Macaca mulatta: one gene and its partners. The protein of the gene in region 3 interacts with the protein of the main gene of each other region in a pairwise test. Links are inferred from orthologs where the notes say so. Each region holds a gene or a part of one and is shown on either strand. Other genes may lie near its edges.

What was found.
Region 1: the proteins of UBE2E2 (region 3) and ARRDC3 interact in binary tests that used the Homo sapiens proteins (3 or more experiments, as listed by UniProt). The two-hybrid records come from large-scale screens. The link is inferred for Macaca mulatta from reciprocal best matches to the Homo sapiens genes UBE2E2 and ARRDC3.
Region 2: the proteins of UBE2E2 (region 3) and TRIM39 interact in binary tests that used the Homo sapiens proteins (3 or more experiments, as listed by UniProt). The link is inferred for Macaca mulatta from reciprocal best matches to the Homo sapiens genes UBE2E2 and TRIM39.
Region 4: the proteins of UBE2E2 (region 3) and ZNRF1 interact in a two-hybrid assay, tested with the Homo sapiens proteins (2 studies listed by BioGRID and IntAct). The link is inferred for Macaca mulatta from reciprocal best matches to the Homo sapiens genes UBE2E2 and ZNRF1.
Region 5: the proteins of UBE2E2 (region 3) and RNF103 interact in a two-hybrid assay, tested with the Homo sapiens proteins (2 studies listed by BioGRID). The link is inferred for Macaca mulatta from reciprocal best matches to the Homo sapiens genes UBE2E2 and RNF103.

The regions. Positions count from the first base shown.
Region 1 is NC_133411.1:97,758,163-97,762,093, forward strand, and holds the start of ARRDC3 (arrestin domain-containing protein 3), read right to left. Parts: upstream 2,801-3,931; 5' UTR 2,586-2,800; coding exon 2,306-2,585; intron 418-2,305; exon of another isoform or gene 1-417. UniProt on the Homo sapiens protein: Adapter protein that plays a role in regulating cell-surface expression of adrenergic receptors and probably also other G protein-coupled receptors.
Region 2 is NC_133409.1:152,701,602-152,705,876, forward strand, and holds the start of TRIM39 (E3 ubiquitin-protein ligase TRIM39), read right to left. Parts: upstream 2,801-4,275; 5' UTR 2,218-2,800; exon of another isoform or gene 1,648-2,217; intron 1,563-1,647; exon of another isoform or gene 1,518-1,562; intron 315-1,517; exon of another isoform or gene 295-314; 5' UTR 161-294; intron 1-160.
Region 3 is NC_133407.1:25,286,035-25,290,177, reverse strand, and holds the start of UBE2E2 (ubiquitin-conjugating enzyme E2 E2), read left to right. Parts: upstream 1-1,343; 5' UTR 1,344-1,348; coding exon 1,349-1,524; intron 1,525-4,143.
Region 4 is NC_133425.1:70,322,626-70,326,923, reverse strand, and holds the start of ZNRF1 (E3 ubiquitin-protein ligase ZNRF1), read right to left. Parts: upstream 2,801-4,298; 5' UTR 2,382-2,800; coding exon 1,958-2,381; intron 1-1,957. UniProt on the Homo sapiens protein: E3 ubiquitin-protein ligase that plays a role in different processes including cell differentiation, receptor recycling or regulation of inflammation. Mediates the ubiquitination of AKT1 and GLUL, thereby playing a role in neuron cells differentiation.
Region 5 is NC_133418.1:37,767,045-37,771,232, forward strand, and holds the start of RNF103 (E3 ubiquitin-protein ligase RNF103), read left to right. Parts: upstream 1-1,388; 5' UTR 1,389-1,479; intron 1,480-1,825; exon of another isoform or gene 1,826-2,385; coding exon of another isoform or gene 2,386-2,611; intron 2,612-4,188. UniProt on the Homo sapiens protein: Acts as an E2-dependent E3 ubiquitin-protein ligase, probably involved in the ER-associated protein degradation pathway.

The sequences.
Region 1 (3,931 bases), on a different chromosome or scaffold from region 3:
ATACCCTTCGAAGCCCCCACCTAGATTTCGATATTGGAATCATTTTCTTTCTTCCCCGGGCCAGCCTCTGCTCTGTCCCCTCAGGTCAACTCAAGGTAGCCAGTGTGGCTACTGGAGAGGTCGGGGAACACGCTTTGTTTCAGAAGCGTTCACAGGAGTCCCCTGACACCTCCTACCCGGCAGATAGCTAACGGGGGTCCTGCCAACCCTTCCCATCCAAATTCCATCTGAAAAGGATTTTCCACTAAAGTTGGGTCCCGGGCCATCCGGCACCTGTAAGGCCGGCAGGAGCGTCTGCCCTCAACTCAGCTAAAGCCTGAAGTCGTTTCCTTTCGATGGTCCTTAGCAGGCCCAAAAGAGGGGCGATAGAACGTGATGTGACACGGGCCGGGCGCCCCCAGAAGCCCGGGAACAAACGTGAGTATGGACTGGGTGGGGGTGGCTCTCTGGAGGGACCTTTACCGGCGCACGCCGGTTTCCTAGCCTCGCCCCAGCAGCGGCGCGAGCCCCCTCTCCCCACCCGCCCGCGCCCAATCCAATCAGCGCCTGCCATCGCCTTAGCAACAGGCTAACAAACCTGGCTCCGCCTATCCCGGGCGCCCGGGGCGGGGTCTCAGTTACCAGGCTAGTTTGAGAGCTCCCAGTTTCAAGTCATTGAAACTATTCCAGACTGAGCTCGTCTACGCGTTGCAGGGTTTGGGGGGGGGGGCATTTTGTTGGGGGTGCAGGGCATTTAGTTTTCTTTACCATGAAATCATGGTGTAACTAATGAAATATTTGTCCTCACAACTCATTGTTCTACTTTTCCCCCATTGCAAGTCTCAACCTCTTGAAGAAAAATCTGTTTCTTTCACCCATTTCATAAAAGGCTGCAATATTCAGAAAGGTAGAAACACAAACTCATCTATCTGCTTTTCAACAAATACCAAGACTGTCATTAGGCATCTGCATCTCCTATCAGTGTTAACGCTTGGAGACATTAATTAGTTATTTCAGGATGCAAAGTACCTGTATCTACGAAAATCCTACTAAAGAACTGAGTTCACCTTAATAGTTTCAGAAATCATGCATTAATACTGCCCCTCAAAGCATCCTTCATTTCTCACTTGCCTTAGTTCAGTCATCAGCACCTCTCCAGGATGTACGTTTTTAATATAAAAAAGAAGGTAAAATATGGCTCTAATTTTTTTCTGAAAAATCGCCAACATCTGAACTAAATACTGCATTAAAAAGGAGAGGCACAAAAATTACATAACCAGTTTTAACATTATATTCTTCTTGGGCTAGGAATTAAGTCATCGCCACCACCTGACGCGTGTAACCAATCTGCTGAGAGCAGAACAAGCGCCCCTCCTCACCACCCCCCAGAACTGGTCCGAAACAGGATTGAACCGCTTCTAACAAAGGGTGGAAACTTAGAAAAACAAGCCTAGACTCTCCTATATTTCCACAATGTAACCATTTAAACAATAGATTGGAAATCTCAGGACTCCTTCTCCCTTTGACAACCCTTTATCTCCCTCTTCTAACCAAAAATCAAATCCAGTGTGCCCTATACTTTTCAATTCCATTTGACTGGCATGGGTTTCATTGAATGCACGTTCCAAAGTTAGACATGATGCTCGGAAAAGAAAATTACTGATCCTAAATGGCTTCTAAAACTGACTCGATACCTATCATAATGACAGACAGTACCCTTTAAAATAAGGAATGCTGGGTGTAAATTTTTAAAGGAATGGGAAAGAATAGAGAAAAAACACGTGGGGTGTTGATACCATATGTCAAAATAAGCCACATAAACCTTTTATGAAAGCACAGTGATCAATTCTTTAAAGTCTTTTGCATTCCAAAATTAAAAATGAAACACGCCCATTAAGCCTCTTAAAAATGTTATTACATTTCTTGATTGAAGTTTAGTTTTTACATCTTAGGTTGCAAGTAAAAGGGCAAAAATCTAAGACTGCAGCTTTTAGCAATTCATTTGAAAATATATTAGTAAAACGATTGCATTGGATTCAAGCAGAATTTATAAGGTGCAAATGGACTACAAGCGCGTATGGCACAGACCAAGCCGGGTATAGAGGTAGTTGAATAAGTGTAGTTTGCAGTCACTTTGCAGATGCCTGCATGCATTACGGCTTAACACACGATGAACGTCAAGGGGAATCCAAACCTTCCAACTTTGCTAACCTTTATCAAACTGCTTAGTTATACTATGAGTAGAATCACGTTAATTCAGAAAACTGAAAAGGTACGTTTCCAAAGAAAATGAGTCCAATGACTTCTGAATAACAGAAAAACTTACCTCTTTCGTGCCCAATTAAGATGTCTTTATGGTTGAAATATTCTACTTCTTCAGTGTAATTCTGTGTATAGGCAGTATTGGAGCCGGCGTTTCTAGATTCAGTCCAGCGTACTTTCGCATGCCCTCTTGCATGAATTTTAAGAGATTTTACTCTGATTTCCCCAGTAACTTCTAAATTTACCCTTCCTGAGACAGTATCCCCACTAGAATACACAGGGACATTGCTGTCATTAAGACAGTCAAAGCTTATTGTCAAACTCTTCACCTTTCCCAGCACCATGTTTATAACAAAATCTATAAAAATATAATGTAAGACAAAAAAGTCAAGATCGCATATAAAATGTGATCTTCACTTAACACTGATCGATATTTTTGCCGTGCAAAATGCTTGCAGGCCGGATCAGTGATTCTCTACAAATAGTTCATTGAGATTTCTTAAAAAGTCAGGGCAGCAGAAGCTGCTGCTCCGCGCTCCCGCTCGTCTCAGTGGTCTCCTTACAAAGACGGGCGGCTAAAGGCTGCCAGCTCACTTTAAGAGCAGCTTTGTGAAAAACAACCCCAATGCGCAAGCGCAGGCCGCGGCTGCTGTCCGCCCTCCCTGCGCGCCCCCTCCAGCGCCGCGCCGCGCCGCGCCGCGCTCGCTCCCTCCCTTGCTCGCTCGCTCCCGGGTACAGTAGGTGTAGAGTTAGGGGAAGGAGATACTGGAGCTGCCGGCCGGCTGAACCTGACTTCTCTTCATTGTGGGCTCCTATTGGTAGGCAGGCTGCCGTATACCCTCGACGTGCTATCTGGAGCCCCTTACCGAGCACACTCTACTGGAAAGATAATGGCAGAGTGGGGCGCGAGGGGACAAGGCCTGGGTGGGGAGTTTGCAAAGCCAAGTAAGGATAAACTGCAGTGACCACCCCAAAGCGTGCGTTACTGGCACTGCAGCGTTTTACCAACTGCCTGGATGGGAGGAGGAAAAAGTGATGTGTGAAGAGAGATGGGGGAAGGGAGAAACCGGTTGGGCAAGCGGCCGATTGTTGAGCATAATCTAACGAATTTTCAAAGAAAATGTAATAAAACTGGACAAGAAGTATTGTTCATAGACAAGAGCATACTTGGCTTGGATTTTTTTTTTTTTTTTTAAACCAGTACTTTGTAGGCAGGGTGGAAATGAACTCAGTCGAGGTCAAAGGAACCTTAGTCCTTTGAAGAGCGAGGTAGAGAAGCAAGTACAATGTAATCAATAGGCTTTTTTGTCTCCTCAACTTCTTTCTCCTACATCGCTTAATTAGATAGCACCGAAAAACAACCAAGTTGTTTCCAGGATGACACGGGTGGGGGCTGGGGGGAAGCTTGACCACTTCCTCGAAGGAAGAAAAAGTCCTTTTTAAGACACCACCTACGGCTAGATTTGCAGAGTAAGACATGATTACAACTCCTGTGTCCAGAGGAATAAGAATAGAGTTCGGCCTAAAAAAGTACCATCTTATAAAAGGCATAGGACATAGTGGTTTAGCTGACATATTGTTTGCAACAGAATCGGAAAATCTTTGTTAGAAATTAGTGAAGCGCATAAAATTGTTTTTAAAAAGCATGATTTGGTATATAAATAGGGGTTAACTGTGAAGCTTTAATTTT
Region 2 (4,275 bases), on a different chromosome or scaffold from region 3:
ACTCCAGATTTGCCCAATCTTGTTATTCTCCATCTTCTCTTTCAATCAATTCAATCTCTTTGTTTCTCCATTTCCAAAACTTGTGACTCCCAGCCATTAACCTTTTTTTCTTGTTAGTAAACTGACACACAACCCCCAATTTATCTATCTTGTCTCTTACCTCTGCTTTCTCTTGTTAGAAAGAGCAGCTTCCTTCAACTCTAGCTCAGCATACTTCTCCTGATCCAGGTTCATTCCACTTGTATCTTAGAACCAATAGTTCCAGACCACTGTATCCTCGTTTGACATACGTTTCTAATAGATAAGAAAGGAATCTGAGAAGTAAAAAATGTCATAAAAATATTAACATTTCTTAAATTAAGCATATTTTAAAGTTTAATGTTATAAGGGCTTTATGATGAATCCACTGGAGTCTAAGCTTGATTCTCTGACACTGTTCTCTCATTCTTCTAAACCACAGTATCCAATCTTTTGGCTTCCCTGGGCCCATTGGAAAAAAAAGTATCTTGGGCCAGACATAAAATACATTGACACTAATGACAGCTGATAAGCTAAAAAAAAAAGAAGTCCATGCATAACTTTTGTTCTATCAGCCACCACAAAAGGTCCATGCATAATTTTTGTTTTATCAGCCACCACAGATAAGTAAAAAGAGTCCTCCCATTCAAAAGGTTAGATACCAGTGTTCTAAAGGCTAACAAATGGAATGAATGAAGCAAAGGCAACCTTCTCTTTCCAGGAAAATCTGAAATTATTCTTCCTTTTATCCATCAGACTAGCCTAAAGGAAGTCTGCTCTCTTCTTGGAATAACATATTTCATGCAACATTCCATTTCTATTGTGTTCATTTGGACACTCAGAACTGCTGAAAACTGATAAATTATGGCAACTATATTAAATAGTACATTACTGAGCTCAGGCCAACAACTTCTTGTAAAGAAACAAGTCTATTTATAGTGACTGGAATCCTTCAATATAACTATTGATAACTAACATCCTGGGCATACTGTGTCTCCAACTAACAGGTTCTGGAGTGGTTGGGAATTAAGAGACAGAAAAGAGGCAATGAGATCTCCCTCAAGTGCAGCCTCAGAAGAATTGGAAATGCATAAGAGAGATTTATAAAACACAACGCTGGTCCCCCACTCCATCTTAAAACGTCGATACTTTTAGCCATGGGTAAGTTGATGTATCTATCCCCATAACCCTTTCTCCTCCTGACCCCCATCCTTCTCTAGGGACCTACTGGAAGGAAGGAAATTTGGTAAATCTATGTGCTGAGAGATAAGTGGCCATGTAATGAGGTAGGTTAACAACAATTGTTCCTGTATATATTGTTGGCACACACAAATGTGTTTGGAGTAGGAGCTGATAACTTCTTTGGACTTGAATTTTTTCTGTCAGCAATAGGAGAGAAGTTCAATCAGATGATTTCTCTCTACCTGTGGAAATCCAACTTTGACTTGTGGTGACCCTACCCCTTCCTCAGTCTTTTACAAATTAGGTGGCCTCCTCACCTGAGATGAGTAGAACTGTATGCACAGTAAGGCACCAGGACAGATCTAGACTGGCAAAGAAGTGGTGAAAGAAATGGGGAAAGGGTTCGGGAAGAATGGAGAGGACTCTAAACTACAGTCATAGTGAGACCTTGAGTGCCTCTGGGTTAGTCCTTCGTCTCCCTCTACTCCTTGTGTCTCAGCTGAAGGGCAAACTTCAGGGACGATCTCATTTTGTTTAAACCACTGTTCAGGGTCCCACCTTGCGACCCTGTCCTGAGAGGTTGTCCACAACTCTGTCCCACCCCCGTCTCCATTTTCTTCCGCCAGATCTGGGGCAGGGGGATTGGAGAGGGGAAAGAGGAAACGTCGTTGCTGGCAGGGTAGGGAGGGATGCGTGTCCAGGTGAGGAAGAGGTGTGACGTGAAGGTGGGATGCCCGCCGCTATGACGCAGCCGAGACCCGCGGTGACTGCGTCAGAGTTTCACCCGGGGAGGTGAGCAGCAGCGGGACGGGGGAACGGCGGGGTAGCCAAGCAACGCCGGACGCGCTGACGTCGCCGGGGCGGCAAAACGTCCGCCCGGGCCCGAGGCGGGCGGAGGCAGCTGTGGTTACGTGCGGGGGGCCGGTGACGCAGTCGCGGGGCGCTGGGACGCGACTTGCGGAGCCGGCCGGCGGGGGCAGGCCCCAGACTCGGGCGCGGCGGCGGGACAGCACCTACCTTCCCGGCTTCGGGTCCGGGAGTGCGGGGCGCGGAGCCGCCGGAGCGCTGCCTCCCTCCTTCCTCCTCCCCTCGCCCCCGCCCCGCGGCGCGACACACAATACTCGCCGGAAGCGGAAGCCGCGCCGAGGCTCGTGTCAGTGGAAGCTGGGGTGTCGGCAGGCAGCAGCGGCCGGGTCTAGCGGTGGCTGCGGAAGGAGGAGGTGGAGGAGGGCTGGCGATGAGAACCAGCAGGAGGAATCAAGGACAAGAAGGGACCCAGAGGGGCAGGTGGCTGAGATGCTGGCGTCCAGGTGACCCGAGGAATCCTCTGGAGATAGAGGCCCGCGCATGCGCGTGCTCGAGCGCTGAAGCCCATGGCCCGCAGGGCGCTGGACGGGCGCCCCGGCCGGCGAGGCTGTCCCGTCCAGGCTCCAGGCCCCGGCTCTGGCCAGGCGCCGCCGCTCCCCAGTGCAGCTGAAAGTCGACGAAGAGGGCGGGGCGAGGGCGGCTTGTGGACTTCCACACTTTTCCTCTCTTCGGGCCAGTCCGGGGAGAGGGTGGCTAGCTGTGGCGGCGGCCAATTACGTGGCGGACCTGCGGGGCTCAGCTGGCACGTCACTTCCGACTGGTGGAGTTTTAGCCTTTTAACATTCAAGGATTAGGTAAGTTCTCCCCCGGGTAGACTTCAAATACTCTTTGTCCTGCCCCTGCTTGGCGAAGTTTACCGAAATTATCTACCTACCCCGCTGGAGTGGGAGCCGGGAGAGAGCTGGAACCGCGACTCTGCTGCTCACCTTTGTGTCCTTAGCTCCTTCGCATGGGGTCCGACCGCAACACGTGCGCTGGATAAACGCTGGTTAACTGGGTGAGAGCCCAGGCCTGTTCTTTCTTCTGGGGCTGTGACTTGAGTTTCTCCGCAGGAGCAGATAGTGTTTGTGTAGGGACTGCGGACTTTTACATTACAGCCTCCCTGCTTTGCTCGCTTGCTGCTGGAAGCTTAGCAGGTCCTGTGATTTTGGAGGAAGTGGGTGAGGTGATGAGGCCAGGAAGAGTATGCTGGGAGAGGTGTCAGGGGCCCGGGAAGCGGTGATGGGGCTGGGGAGGGGTTAGTAGTGGGTAGAGGTGTGAAGAGGCTGAGGAGGAGGGGTTAGTGCTAGGAGGGGTGTGACACGGCTGGTAGAAAAGATAGCTTGCTCCGCCTCCCCGCCCCCAGCACTAGTCCTGGAGAACATTGATTGAAAGAGATGAGCAAATTTTGATGTACTCTCCTTGGTGAGAAAGTGCCCTAATTTCCGGTGTAAGTTGTGCTGCTGTTTACAAACACCCTGCATTATTTAACCTCTCATCTTGGGAGCCAGAAACTATTTACTTGTAGAAAATATCCAGTATCTAAGGTATAAAGATTTGGGATCACACATGCTAATTACAGTTGTCTACCTTTATTATTCCTTTTTTTGTGCCAACAATTGAAGAGGATTAAATTTGAGAAAATTACATTTGATACCTTTTTTTCACATTGCTATGTAGCCATTAGGGATTTTAGCAGCAGCAGTTGTTCTAATTCACAAGATGCCTCACTTGTAAGGGTAGTTTGAAAGCCACTAACTGGGCGGTGAGCCTCCTTAGCCTTGGCTTCGGAGGGAGAGTGAGATTTGGTTTTGATTTGTTAATTTGTGGCGCATAAGATGTTGATAACCCTCCTTTCTGGCGTTCGGTTTGTAAATAACCAGGAGGATTGTGATTAGACTAAGGAAATTAACAAGAGGAGGTCCAATTCTAAGGATTATGAAGAATGAGCTTTCCTAGAGACTGATATTAAGGGGATTTTACGGGCCGGGCGCGGTGGCTCAAGCCTGTAATCCCAGCACTTTGGGAGGCCGAGACGGGCGGATCACGAGGTCAGGAGATCGAGACCATCCTGGCTAACACAGTGAAACCCCGTCTCTACTAAAAAATACAAAAAAACTAGCCGGGCGAGGTGGCGGGCGCCTGTAGTCCCAGCTACTCGGGAGGCTGAGGCAGGAGAATGGCGTAAACCCGGAAGGCGGAGCTTGCAGTGAGCTGAGATCCGGCCAC
Region 3 (4,143 bases):
CTCAGAGCAAAGGGAATTTGAATGCCTTGAGGGATATTTTAGCCAGACTGTGGGGAAAAGAAAAAAAAAAATTCTTCAGTGTCTCGCCATCTCTTGTGAAATATGGTTGCTTTAGTATATAGCTGAATCAGTGCTGATGCCGTCGTATGGTTCAATTTTTATTTAGAATCATGCAGTCATGCAGGCCTCTGTGTTCTTCTGTTATCACAAAGGTTACTTAAAACAATTTACTAGTTTGGAGAATTTTAACCTTAGCCCAGCTCTGAGGATGTATTGATGGAATAGGGATTTGAAAGAATCCTCCCATTTTTCTGTTCCCACAACTATTTGTACTAACCTTCGTTTTTGTACTTAGCAAGTTGGCTAGTCCAGGTTTTTCACAGTTGTGGGACCAAAGGGTTTAGCACAGCACCTGGTAGAGAGTAGACCCTTAGTCATTTTTTTCTTATTTTTTGTAACAGCATTATTGATATGTGATTCACAGACTATAAAATTTACCGTTAAAAAATGTACAACTCTGTAGTTCTTAGAATATTTATTATTAGAATTGAGCAACATTATCATTATCTAATTTAAGAACATTTTTATCACCCCACAGGGAAGCATCCTACCCATTAGCAGTCAGTCTTCACTGCTCTCCCCTCACTCCCTGGCAACCACTTACCCATTTTATTTTATTATTATTATTATTTTGTTTTGAGACAGGGTCTCTCTCTGTCACTCAGGCTGGAATGCAGTGGTATCAATCATATTTTTATTTTTTGTAGAGATCGAGTCCTGCTATGTTGCCCAGGCTGGTCCTGCCTGGGCTTCCCAAAACATTGGGATTTACAGGCGTGAGATTTACTACTGAATTTGATGTTTATGAATTTGCCTATTCTGGACATTTTATCTAAATAGTCAGCTTGTGGTCCTTTGTGGCTGGCTTCTTTCACTTACAGAATGTTTCAAGGTTCATCCATTTTGTAGCACGTAGACACTGTATTTCATTCTTTTTTATGGCTAACAGTACATTATGTGAATATACTACTACATTTTGTTTATCCATTCATTCGTTAGTGGATATTTGAGTTGTTTCCAGTTTTGGTTATTATGAATAATGTTGCTGTGAACGTTTCATGTATAAATTTTGTATGTTTTTGTTTTACAATACATTTTGAATGGATGAAGGAAAAGTTTTAGCAAGTCCCAAAGCTGCATTGTTTTGTAAATGACCAATTTAATCCGTTTTATATTGAGATTTACTTGTTTTACTTTGAGATTCATTCTCTGTGTTCTGGAGGTAGCTTACTGTAGTCGTCCTCACAGCTGAATAAATGATTTTTGATTCTTTAATCCAGGATCTAAAATGTCCACTGAGGCACAAAGAGTTGATGACAGTCCAAGCACTAGTGGAGGAAGTTCCGATGGAGATCAACGTGAAAGTGTTCAGCAAGAACCAGAAAGAGAACAAGTTCAGCCCAAGAAAAAGGAGGGAAAAATATCCAGCAAAACCGCTGCTAAATTGTCAACTAGTGCTAAAAGGTATCTCAGTTATTATAACCTTTTTATTTTTGGTATCAGTTTATCATCTTAAGTTCTATTTTTCTCTTGCATTTAATCATTTTTTCCGTGATTGTCAGCCATGAACTTCGTGGATTTTTCTTTCCCTTTCAAGATGATCTCTTTTACATGGTTTTAGCCATAGGGAACTTCAGTATTTAAAGTCAGTTAAATGGCATGGCAGATTCATAAAATACATTTCCATAGTGTGTTTGTGTGTTTGTGTATTATTAGGGAAGCATATACAGGGCGTGCATGTAAAGTTGCAGTGGTTTCATTTATGGTTACTTGACCATAAATATTTTTTTTCTGTTCCGTAACACAGAATAGAGATTAGGAATCTTTTGAAGTGGTTATTGAGTGAGTGATAGTTTATTTTCCACTACTCCCAGTTGGTAGAGTCAGAAATGCTGACATTAGCGACAAGTGCATCTTGGTTTCATTACATTAGTCAGTGGATCCATCTTGATACAGATTTTTCTCTTTCTCTGGAGAATAGATGGATCTGGAAAGTAGGTATTTGAATGGTCTTCTTTTGGTACATCAATCTCTTAAAATGATTGGCATGTCAATGGACTTAGAGGGAATCTGTTTTGATATTGTTACATTATAGAATATCTCTTGGAAAATAATTTGAAAGATAAAGTAGTGTCTTTTGTGATCCTGTGATTTTATGTTCTTGCTTTGTTTTCATATGTTTTATATTGCCCAAATAGGAAGTATAAATAAAAGCAATCTGTAACTTTTAGGCATAGTGGAATGCCTGAATGTTGAATTACAGCTTTATATGTTATTTTATGGTGTGGATTAAGGGGAACTCCTTTCTCAAAGATAAGAAATCATTATTATGTTCTAGTAGACCTTGTTTCCCTTTGGCTTAGTCAGTCTACAGGATTGGAAAGAACCTTCTCAGGCCCCTTGGTGAGAGATGTTGGAGGATGGTGAGTGGTTATTCCAAGGTACTAGAGTATTCAGTTTCCCTTTCCTGGGGGTGTATTGCTGATCTCTGTTGAAGGAGCTGTTTGAAAGTCAGAGAGCCCTGAACTTTAAACTTTTAGACCTGTGTACTAGAACATGCCAGGGTGGGGAAGAGGGTTCAGTTTGTTTTGCCATCACACCGCAATTACAGGGGACTCAGCTGGCTGACCCTTCTGTTGCCAGACCACGACACAAATGACCTGCTTAGAGGTGACCTGGGAAATGGGGGGTGGGGTTAGGATGGATAAGAAAGGTGAGGAGTAGAGAAAATGTGACATTTAGGTGAAAGAAGGAAGTCGATGTGGGTGGAAAGGAGATGTTCAGGTACAGATTGTAGTTCCATGTAGATGCGGAAAATCTAATTCAGTCCTCAGTGTCTGATTGGGTTGTTACAGGGCCTTTTCAGTTTGTCAGAAAAGGGCAAGGATTGGTTGGCCAGGTCCTTGGGGAATAGGGTTCTGCTGGGCCTGTGCTTTATTTTGTGATTGCTAGTTAGCAAAGTTACCTGTTGTGGTGAGGCTCTGCCTTTTCCCCTAACTGGGAGCACCACTATAATATACCTTAAAATCATATTTCTTGCATGATATGCCAAAGATCAAATTCTGCTTATGAAAGATGTACTGCTTTATGTGTGAACATGAGTTTTTCAAGTACATGGGTCATCTTTATTTTACTCTACACTATATGTAGAAAGTACAGATTATTCAAACCTAATGATAGATTTCATGAGGGAAAAATACGGAAGATGTGTTTCTGCTCTGTACATAGGAGATACAACCTAGTTTAGAGATAGTGTATGTACAGAGCACAGGACAGTGCCTGCCTGCCAGTAAATAGTAAGTGGTTGTATTGCGTTGGTGAAAGTAAGAAGTCTCTTTTGAGTTGCTTCCTGGCTGAAAGAATCCCTCTGTTGGCAAATTCCTGTGAATCTGTGATTTTCAAGTTGTGGTTCATGATCTTCCTCTAGAAAGGTCTTCAGTTGGTTTTTGGGTGACACTGTATGAAGTGATGTAATTATTTACTATTTATTTTAAATATAAAAATGCGGCTTTGCTACTAATTTTTTAATTAAAAAAAAAACTTATTTTCCCCTCTCTCTTCCTCCGATTCAGCTGATAGGGAAGTTGTTGGTTCTTTGCCATTTCTGCTTAACTTAGGAAAAAAATTGGGAATTATGAGAACAGAGGACCCCACATCTTTTAAGTTCACTGTCATATCCACAGTACCTAGCAGAGTGCAGTCACAATATTTACTTACTGGTTACCTTGGAACCCTGAGCTTATTTTAGGGATTGGATTTTCCATGGATATTAGCATCTTAGTACTAGTGTGTTCAGAAGATTAAAAGTTAGAGGTAGTTTCAAAATAAATTTTATTTCACACTTTTTTGTTGATGATCATTTTTATTCAGATGAGAAGTCTTTCCCAAATAGTGTCATTTTATGAGAAAGAGTAGCATTGAAGAGCTTGAACTCTAGAGACAGGATCTACGTTTGAATCTAGGTTCTAGCATTTAGTAGCTATAGCTCTGTGGTCTTTTTTTTTTTTTCTTTTTCTTTCTTTCTTTTTTTTCTTTTTTCTTTTTCTTTTTTTTTTGAGGCAGAGTCTTGCTCTGTCACCCAGG
Region 4 (4,298 bases), on a different chromosome or scaffold from region 3:
AGGACATGATGGTCCTACACAGTAAGGAACAGATTACCTACAATATTAATAGCAGCCTCCCATACACGCTTTTGACACCCTTCCCCAAAGGATTAATGTGCTCCAACTTTCCTGTCCCCACAGTTCAGTGGCTCTCCCTACTCTCACCATAACAGGATGAAAAAAAATAAGCTTTCACAGCTTAGGACTGAAATTCTGGAATCCAATTATAAGCTCATAACTTTAGCATGGAACCTGGCAGTAGCATAATAAATAAATTTTTAGTAAGAGACAGACTGAAGAAATTTCAGAAAAAAAAAAAAAAAAAAAAACTCCCTTTCTTCCTCCCTACATATCTCATGTTTTTCAACACACAAAATTCTGTGATTTTAGAGAAACTTCGTATAGTGCTTTTAAGTTCAAAACCAGATGCTCATTACAGTTCTTTTAAACACCTAACCAGTCATCTCAAAAATATGGCTAACTCTCTGAACTAAATTTCATAGGAAAGATTATTAATTTCAAAATGCCTAATTTTGATCAAATGCCTGAAAGAGCCAAAGGCAATCATGTTTTGCATCTCATTCAGGTCAGAGTTCGATGAGGTCAGAAAAGCTCCAATGATATCCGGAGGTCTGTTCAGAGATTAAAATATCATCCTAACAATTCACAAGCTACTTCTAAGGGTTACCCTAAATTAGTCACTAACAGTTCGTCCCCCAACTCTATTTCACATAGTTTATAGAATTGACAAAAAACCGAACCAAATGAAAACAAACCCCAGGATATTTGCAGGGAGGGGGAAAGCGATACCCCAAAAGTCAACTCTATTTCACAGTAGGTAAAACAGTGATCCACGAGATATTACCCTCCATAAAGTACCCTAAAGGCAGGAGCAATCTTTCCCCTACACAATATCTAAATTTTCCCAACTCACCCAAAAGAAACTTAAGATGTAACTTATTCACTCAACTTGCCAATTAGCAAACAGCGGCCCCACACACCTTTTGGCCAATTTTCTAGAAGCCTGACCTAGCAGACAGACCTGTTTTCCTCCTGCCAGGCCTTTTTAGCCCTCCCAGTAGGAGCCTGGGAAATCCCCCTCCAACCTTTTGCTGGCCTGTCACCAGAAGTTCATAAAATGAATTCATCCAGATTCTCTGAATCCTCCTTTCCCCCAGTCATGTGCCAACAGTCAGGCAATAATGCCCCACCTTGACAGGCTCCCTGTTACAAAAAGATGCAGATTCACGGGAAGACCAAGCACTTAGCATGGAGCAGAAGAAAAAAGATGGAGGGAGGTGAGAGTCGTGGAGCCAAGTCTGCTGCATGCAGTACGGGTGACCAGAGCCCTGGTCCTGCAAAGCCCCCGCGAGACTCGCCGGCTGGGCCCTCCGTACAGCAGCCACACCTGTCTATGCCAGCCGCCTGCCGGCTGCTCCATTTTAAACATTTCAAACAGATCTCCAGCAGGGTGGCACAACTGGGCACCTCTCTCTCCCAGCAAGAGTGAGAGCCCTAATCCAGGCATCACTCGCCCCTAATTTTATTTCATTTTCATACTCTCTGTTTTGGAGACACTGCTTGCTCCAACTGGCTCCATCTCTCCGTTACTGGTGAGGCAGGCACAGTGCTGCAGTGGCAGAATGGAAGCACCCAGGCTGACTTGCTCTCAGCCAGAGAAGACCGCTTCTCTGAGGAGGGAGATGCCAATAAATGGGACTCCAATAGGTAGGCTTCGCTCTGCCCTTCCACAAGTGAACACACGCCGGGAGTCCTACATCGCCAGGCTCCGCAACCTTGCAGAAAGCCTAGTTCCCAGAGGGTAGGTATCCCATTCATCCCTTGGCATCGGGAACCAAAGGGAAGGCAGACAGATCCCGGTCGTGCACTATATTCCCAAACCTTGGCACGCGCGCGAAGGCTTGGGGCGCCCCGGCGCGCCCTCCCTCCGAGGCCTCCACCACCGTGGACTCACCACTGTGCGAGCTGAACCACCTGGGTGCGATGTGCAGAGGTAGAGCATCCGCCAGCGAGGCTCGGGAGCCCAGGTACAGCATCCCGTCTCTATGGTGACTGCCGCCCGTCTCCTGGTAACCATTGCCATGGGCATAGGTGGAGTCGGACGCGGACCCTCCGCCGCCGGGCGCCCTCTCAGAGTCGCCGGTGCCCCGGGAGGCGGGGGTGTAGAGGCCAAAGGGCACCCCCCCTGCTGTGCTGGGGTCCATGCCCATGCCTGCCACCGAGCTGACCGAGCGGCTGCGCAGCCCCATGGCCCCGCCGCCCGTCCGGTAGTGCCCGAAATGGGGCGCCCCTCCCGGCGGCGGCACGGCGCTGTCATCGGTGGAGACCCCCGGGAAGGGGCCCCGGGAGCGGGTCGCCGTGCTCTGCTTGCCCCCCATGCTCGCCCGGGCCCCGGTGGGGCGGGAACCTGGAGGCCGAGACCCTCCCCCACTTCTCAGCAGCGGGGGGAGGGCTGGGCGAGCATAAAGAGGGAGGGAGTCAAAAAGGAGACCCGAAGGGAGAAAAGAAAAAAGCAAAAGAAAAAAGGAAAAAACCCGCGGGGCGGAAGAGGCAGGCGGGCGGGCGGGGATCCCAAACTCAGAATTTCAAACGATCCAAGCCAAACGCATGTTTCCCCTCAAGGTCCAAAGAGGCGCAGTCCGGCGCGGGCTCCGCGCGCCACAGGCCGCCCCCGGGCTCCGAAAGCCGGGGGAGCCGCAGGGAAGGAGGGAGGGAGGCGGCGGCGAGAGGCAGGCGGGCGCGGGGAGGCGCCGGAGGAGGCCGCCCGCCCCGCGGGAGGAGGAGGAGGACCGGGGGCGCCAGGCGCGTCCCCCGCCTCAGGACGCCGCGACCATGGACGGCGGCCCGGACCTCTCCAGGCCTCGGGCGGGCCGCGGCGCTGGGCGGCCAGGCGCAGCTCGGGAAGCCGCGGTCGCGTCGTGTCGCGCTCTCGCTTCAGTCGCCGCCGGCCCCGCCAGCCGCGCCACCCCGCTCGGTCCCGGGCAGCGCTTGCCGGCGCTCCTGGCCGCCGTGGAGACAATGGAGGGCGGCAGAGCGCAGGCGCGGCCTGCGCCCCCTCCCCCTCCCCCCGTCGGGTTAACCCTTTCGCGGCCCCTGCGGCGCCCGGGCAGCTGACGCCCCAGCAGTCCCCACCCACCGCCCGCCCCCGGCCGGCCTGTGACCTGGGCGGCCTGAGCCACTGGGCGTTAGCCACAGAAACCAGATGTCTTTGAAAAGCAAACACTTCTTAAGTCCCCGAAAATGGCAAATTATTCAGGGGGAACCACGTATGGGGGAGGGGCAGCAATGGTTCGAGGGGGTGGGAAGGAAACACCGGGAAGAAGGAGATTTACTCCTTACGCCTACCTGGCTCTGAGGGTCACCAGTCGAGCTCCCCTCCTGGCACAAATTTGCCCCCACAGCACCCTCTGGTGGACGTGATGTCCATTCTTTCGGGGGTTCCCCATCCAAGCACCCCTCAGGTCCGGAATCTCAACATTTGGCGGGGTTTAGCTATTTGGGGGTAAACAGCGCCATGGGGACACTTGTGAATCCGGAGTGTTGCTGACACTAGGTCAGAACTTCCTATTTTGGGCTTAAGCAAATGAGTAGATTCCTTAGCTAAAATGTAATTTTCAGAACCAATAGAGGTACCATAAAATGTGAATAGATATGGATATGGAAATAGAACTACGTAGCTAGAAGTGATTATAGAAACCTTCTGTCCAAGGTTGGAGCCCTGTTTTGTTTACCATGTTCTGTGTTTCGGCCTACACCACGGCCAAGGACACGGTGGGTACTCAATAGGTGTATTGTTGACCAAGCCTGCATCATTTTGCAAGGGAGGGTTCCTTTGATACCTCAGTCCGTCTTTCTCTCCTATATTCACATTCATTCAGCGAACAATTGTTTTTCTTTTTCTTTTTTTTCTTTCTTTTTTTTTCTTTTTTTTTTTTTTTTTTTTGAGACGTAATCTCACTCTGTCACCCAGGCTGGAGTGGAGTGGCCTAATCTCGGCTCATCGCAACCTCCGCCTCCCAGGTTCAAGCGATTCTCCTGCCTCAGCCTCCTGAGTAGCTGGGATTACAGGCGCGTGTCACTGCACCCGGCTAATTTTTTGTATTTTTAGTAGAGACAGGGTTTCACCATATTGGCCAGGCTGGTCTTGAACTCCTGACCTCAGGTAATCCGCCCGCCTTGGCCTCCCGAAGTGTTAGAATTACAGGCGTGAGCCACCACACCTGGCCTGTTTTTCTTTTCCTTTCTTTCTTTCTTTCTTTTTTTTTTTTTGAGATGGAGTCTTGCTCTGTAGCCCA
Region 5 (4,188 bases), on a different chromosome or scaffold from region 3:
CCCAGCCCCTTCCAACTCCTCCCCCACCAGCCCGGCACTGAAACGCCCTTGTTCACTTTATTTTAAATGGGCACCATTCGGAGGCTACATTCTCACAGTCCATTCTTTGCTTCTCGTTCCTCACTTGCTCCATGACCCGGGATCATATCCCTTTCTTTCTAAAACTGTCACCCCTAGTTTCGGATAGTTGATAGTTTTGCACAAATAGTCACATTTCCCAGTAATTCCTGCTTTTTGTTTGTTTGTTTGTTTTCCTTCCTTATCAAAAGCGGCTGGTCAAAGACAACCTGGTTCAATTTATGAACCCAACTCCTTCCTCCCTCAAGACTGACAGAGATTGAGGTAAAGAGTACGTTCAGCCCTGTTAAATTTATAAGCACAGAATCGGGTATCGCATGCTTGTCCATGTGACTATTTATTTTTATTTTATTTATTTATTTATTTCTGAAATGGAGTCTTGCTTTGTTACCCAGGCTGGATGTGGTGCAGTGGTAGGATCTCGGCTCACTGCAAGCTCCGCCTCCCGGGTTCACGCCATTCTGCTGCCTCAGCCTCCCGAGTAGCTGGGACTACAGGCGTCCGCCACCACGCCCGGCTAATTTTTTTTTTTTTTTTTTTTTTTTTTTTTTTTTTGTATTTTTAGTAGAGACGGGGTTTCACCGTGTTAGCCAGGATCATCTCGAACTCCTGACCTCGTGATCTGCCCGCCTCGGCCTCCAAAAGTGCTGGGATTACAGGAGTAAGCCACCGCGCCCGGCCCATGTACAAAATAAAGCACCCAGAACTTTGCACCTGGACGTATCAACATTCAACAACCTTTGTCCTAGGAACTCAGGGAGTTCACACCAGGCTTTTAACACCCCTGAGACTGAAGGAGGGAAAAGGCTATAACTGGCAGCGACAACTGGGCCTAGGATAACGCTAACTCCAGTTTTGGCCAAACCTCCTCCAACACACATGTGCAAAGCCATATTCTCATGAAGAGGGGGCAAAACATTTGCTTTCTGGGTTTAACCTTCTACCATCTCAAACCAACTGTGCCAAAAATTTCGCTGTTCACCAGGATTCATCAAAAAACGTATATTTCTATTTTTATCGATTTTAAGAGAATAATTAACTGCTCTATTTTTACAGAAAATACACAAAGTGATACAGTCCAAAGACTAATACTCAGACGAAATCAATTGCTAAACATTGGCGGGGCAAAAGAGGAGACCACGCAACAAAAGCACGGACAGGCAACTTTCGGCACCGCGGGAAGGCCCCGACCAGGCTGGGGCTCCGCCTCTCCTCCCACTCTCTGCTCGGTTGTCCAGGAGCCCCGCGGCTCCCCGAATTCCCCGCCCTCCGCCCCTGCGGGCCTGCCCTGCAGGCCCCGCCCCAGCCCCGCCTCGTCCCGACGTCAGTTGTTGTGTCTCAGCTCCGGCCGCGGCCGTCCCTGATCTACGGCTGTGGAGGCTACGGCCGCGGCCTCCGGAGGTGGCGGGGGTGCTGGGGACCCGTGCCGCGACCGGCGCCGCCCATCCGAGCGGGGCAGGCGCTGAGTGGCCGGGAGGCAGCCGGGTAGCCGCCTGGAGGAGCAGTCTCAGGGCCTGTTATTGGTTTTTTCCCACCGAGACCGATTCCCTCTGCAGGGACCGCGACGCCCCATCCTGGGCCGGGCCGCGGTGCCCGCCTGCCTGAGAGGCGCCGCCCGCCAGCCGGCCCGAGCTAACGTGGAGCCGCCGCCGTGCCCGCCGTGCTTCTCGCGGATCCTGGGCGGTCGGCGGGGCCTGGGGCCTGGGCTTCGGGCGCGGCGCTGCGGCGGTCGCTCCTCCCCGCGCAGGACACGCTGGGCCCCAGGCCTGGCCCGGCCGAGCGCCGCGCCCTCCTGACCCGCGGCCGCGGGAGTCCGGCCCCCACGGCCCCTCGGGCCCGGGCCTGCCGCCCGGATCTCCGGCTCCTGGCGAATCTGAGTTATTTTTTGGTCTCTCCCCCTCCCCCTTGAGATCGCGGCGCCGGAGGGCCGACCCCGCCACCTGGGTCAGTGTCCCCCGCAGAGGGAAGCGTCCCTCGTTTTCTTCCCGTGAGCTCTCCCCGCGCCCCTCGCCTCTCGGTGCTTAATGGATGGCGGTTGTGAGTTTTTCCCATTTATTTTTGTCGCCTCTTGACTGGGAGGCCCGGCGCGAGGCTCTGCGCCTCTGCGTCCCTCGTCGCCACCTCACGCCCGCGCAGATCCCGTCACCTGCCTCCCCGTCGCGGATGGCCGGCCAGTGACGGCGCCGGGTGGCCCGCGCGTGGACACGGGGCCCTCGCCCAAGCTGCCACCGAGCCGCTGCCTCCGCCCTCGACCCTTCTCTCTCCCGTATTCCGAGCTCTCTGGAAAGAGAGAAGACGCCAGGGAAGATGTGGCTGAAGCTTTTTTTCTTGCTCCTCTATTTCCTGGTCCTGTTCGTCCTGGCCAGGTTTTTTGAAGCCATTGTGTGGTATGAAACTGGCATCTTTGCCACCCAGCTGGTGGATCCAGTGGCGCTGAGCTTCAAGAAGCTGAAGACCATTTTGGAGTGCCGAGGGTTGGGCTACTCAGGGCTGCCTGAGAAGAAGGATGTCCGGGAGCTGGTGGAAAAGTCAGGCGAGTATCGAGCTTCCCCTAGGGCCCCCTCCACCTGGGAGAGGGGACGACCTGTACCTCCTGGTACCTGGCTGTTCCCCCAGAGTGAGGCCTTCCCTGGAAGGGTTAAAGCTGCCCAGGTTGCTTCGTCCAAGCTTTCTACAATCAAGTATGCGGATCCCAGCTTTGAGGAGGAGGCTGAAATTACTTGGAGGGGTGTTGGTGTATCCTTTTAAGGTTGTCGTAAAATGACAGTTTAAAGTGTGGCTTCTTAGCGTTGTTTACTAAGTTGAGTGATTTTCTCAAAATTCGGGAATATGAACTAGTTACAAACTGGAAAGCATTATTTGTCAGTTGAAGTTCATAAAAACGTAAGAAAAACTCCAAAACGTTGTCTGTCAATAGTAGTATTTGTCACGATAGTAATAATAAGGTACCCAGAGTGGGGACCCATCTTTGGAATACTTACTATCAGAGGCACTTGGGCCTAGGATTTGAATGTTAGTTAAATCATGAGTTTGAATATAGACAGTGTACACCGACTTTAAGTCTGAAAAGGCGAGTAAGTCTGAGTAAGATGAGCATTTTGTATAAATGCTTGCCATGTTCTAGTTTATATTATATTTCTGTTAGGATTTTTTTAAATTTGCATCTTGGATGTAAGAAAAAGTTTTTTTTTGTCTTCTGTGTCACAGGCACATTGTTTAATGGGTTGAGAAATATAAGTGAAATAGTCCTGAGAGAATATTCAATGTCTTAAATAATGTGTTTTTCGTAATTGTTGGTTTTGGTAGGATTGGGTGAGAAATATGATTACTTTTTTTCACTGCTGGACAAAGTATACCTTTGTTTGGATATACTTCCTGAAAGTGGAATGTAATTTGAGAAAGGCTTTCTGCGTTGCTGTAGGGAGCAGCTGAAACTGATGGTTATCTTTTTTTGTTGTTTCAAGTATTTCTGTCAGCTGTCTTTTACAAGACAAATCTTTTCCTTCTTTAGTACCCTATAGACATGTAGCGTGATAGACAAGAATATGAACTAGCTAGCAGTTTAACACTTGGATATTTGTAGGTTGTGGGTTATAAAACTCGTATCTCACTGTTAGGATAGAGGAGAGGAACCCACTCTGCAAAAGTGATAAATATTTCGTTAGAGAAAATATAAAATCGTGTATTATTCTTGCCCCTTGTTTGCTGGCTGGTTTATGGTGATTCTTATTTTTACCATAGGGGGAAGAAGTGGAGTAACTAGGGTAAAAGATCTCTACTAAATAAACTCTCTTGGTTTAGAGATGAGAAGTGTCTTAATTACTAAAGCCATCATTTTTTATGGAAAATAATTTGATCACACATTTTTTCTTTTGACAGTTATTTATTATTGCCTTCTTTCGGGACTAAAAATACTTGGCACATTGAATGTATTAGGTGTCCACATATAACTTTAAGACGCACAGCCCAATATGACTCAAATCACATTTTATGGCAGAAAAGTCATGGTATAGCGGTTTAAAAATTTAAGTGTTTATTGTGAATGGTTTTGCTGCTATCATGGTGCAGTGCTTGGTTTCTCACTGTTTAATATTTAAGGCAAAAGTTAAA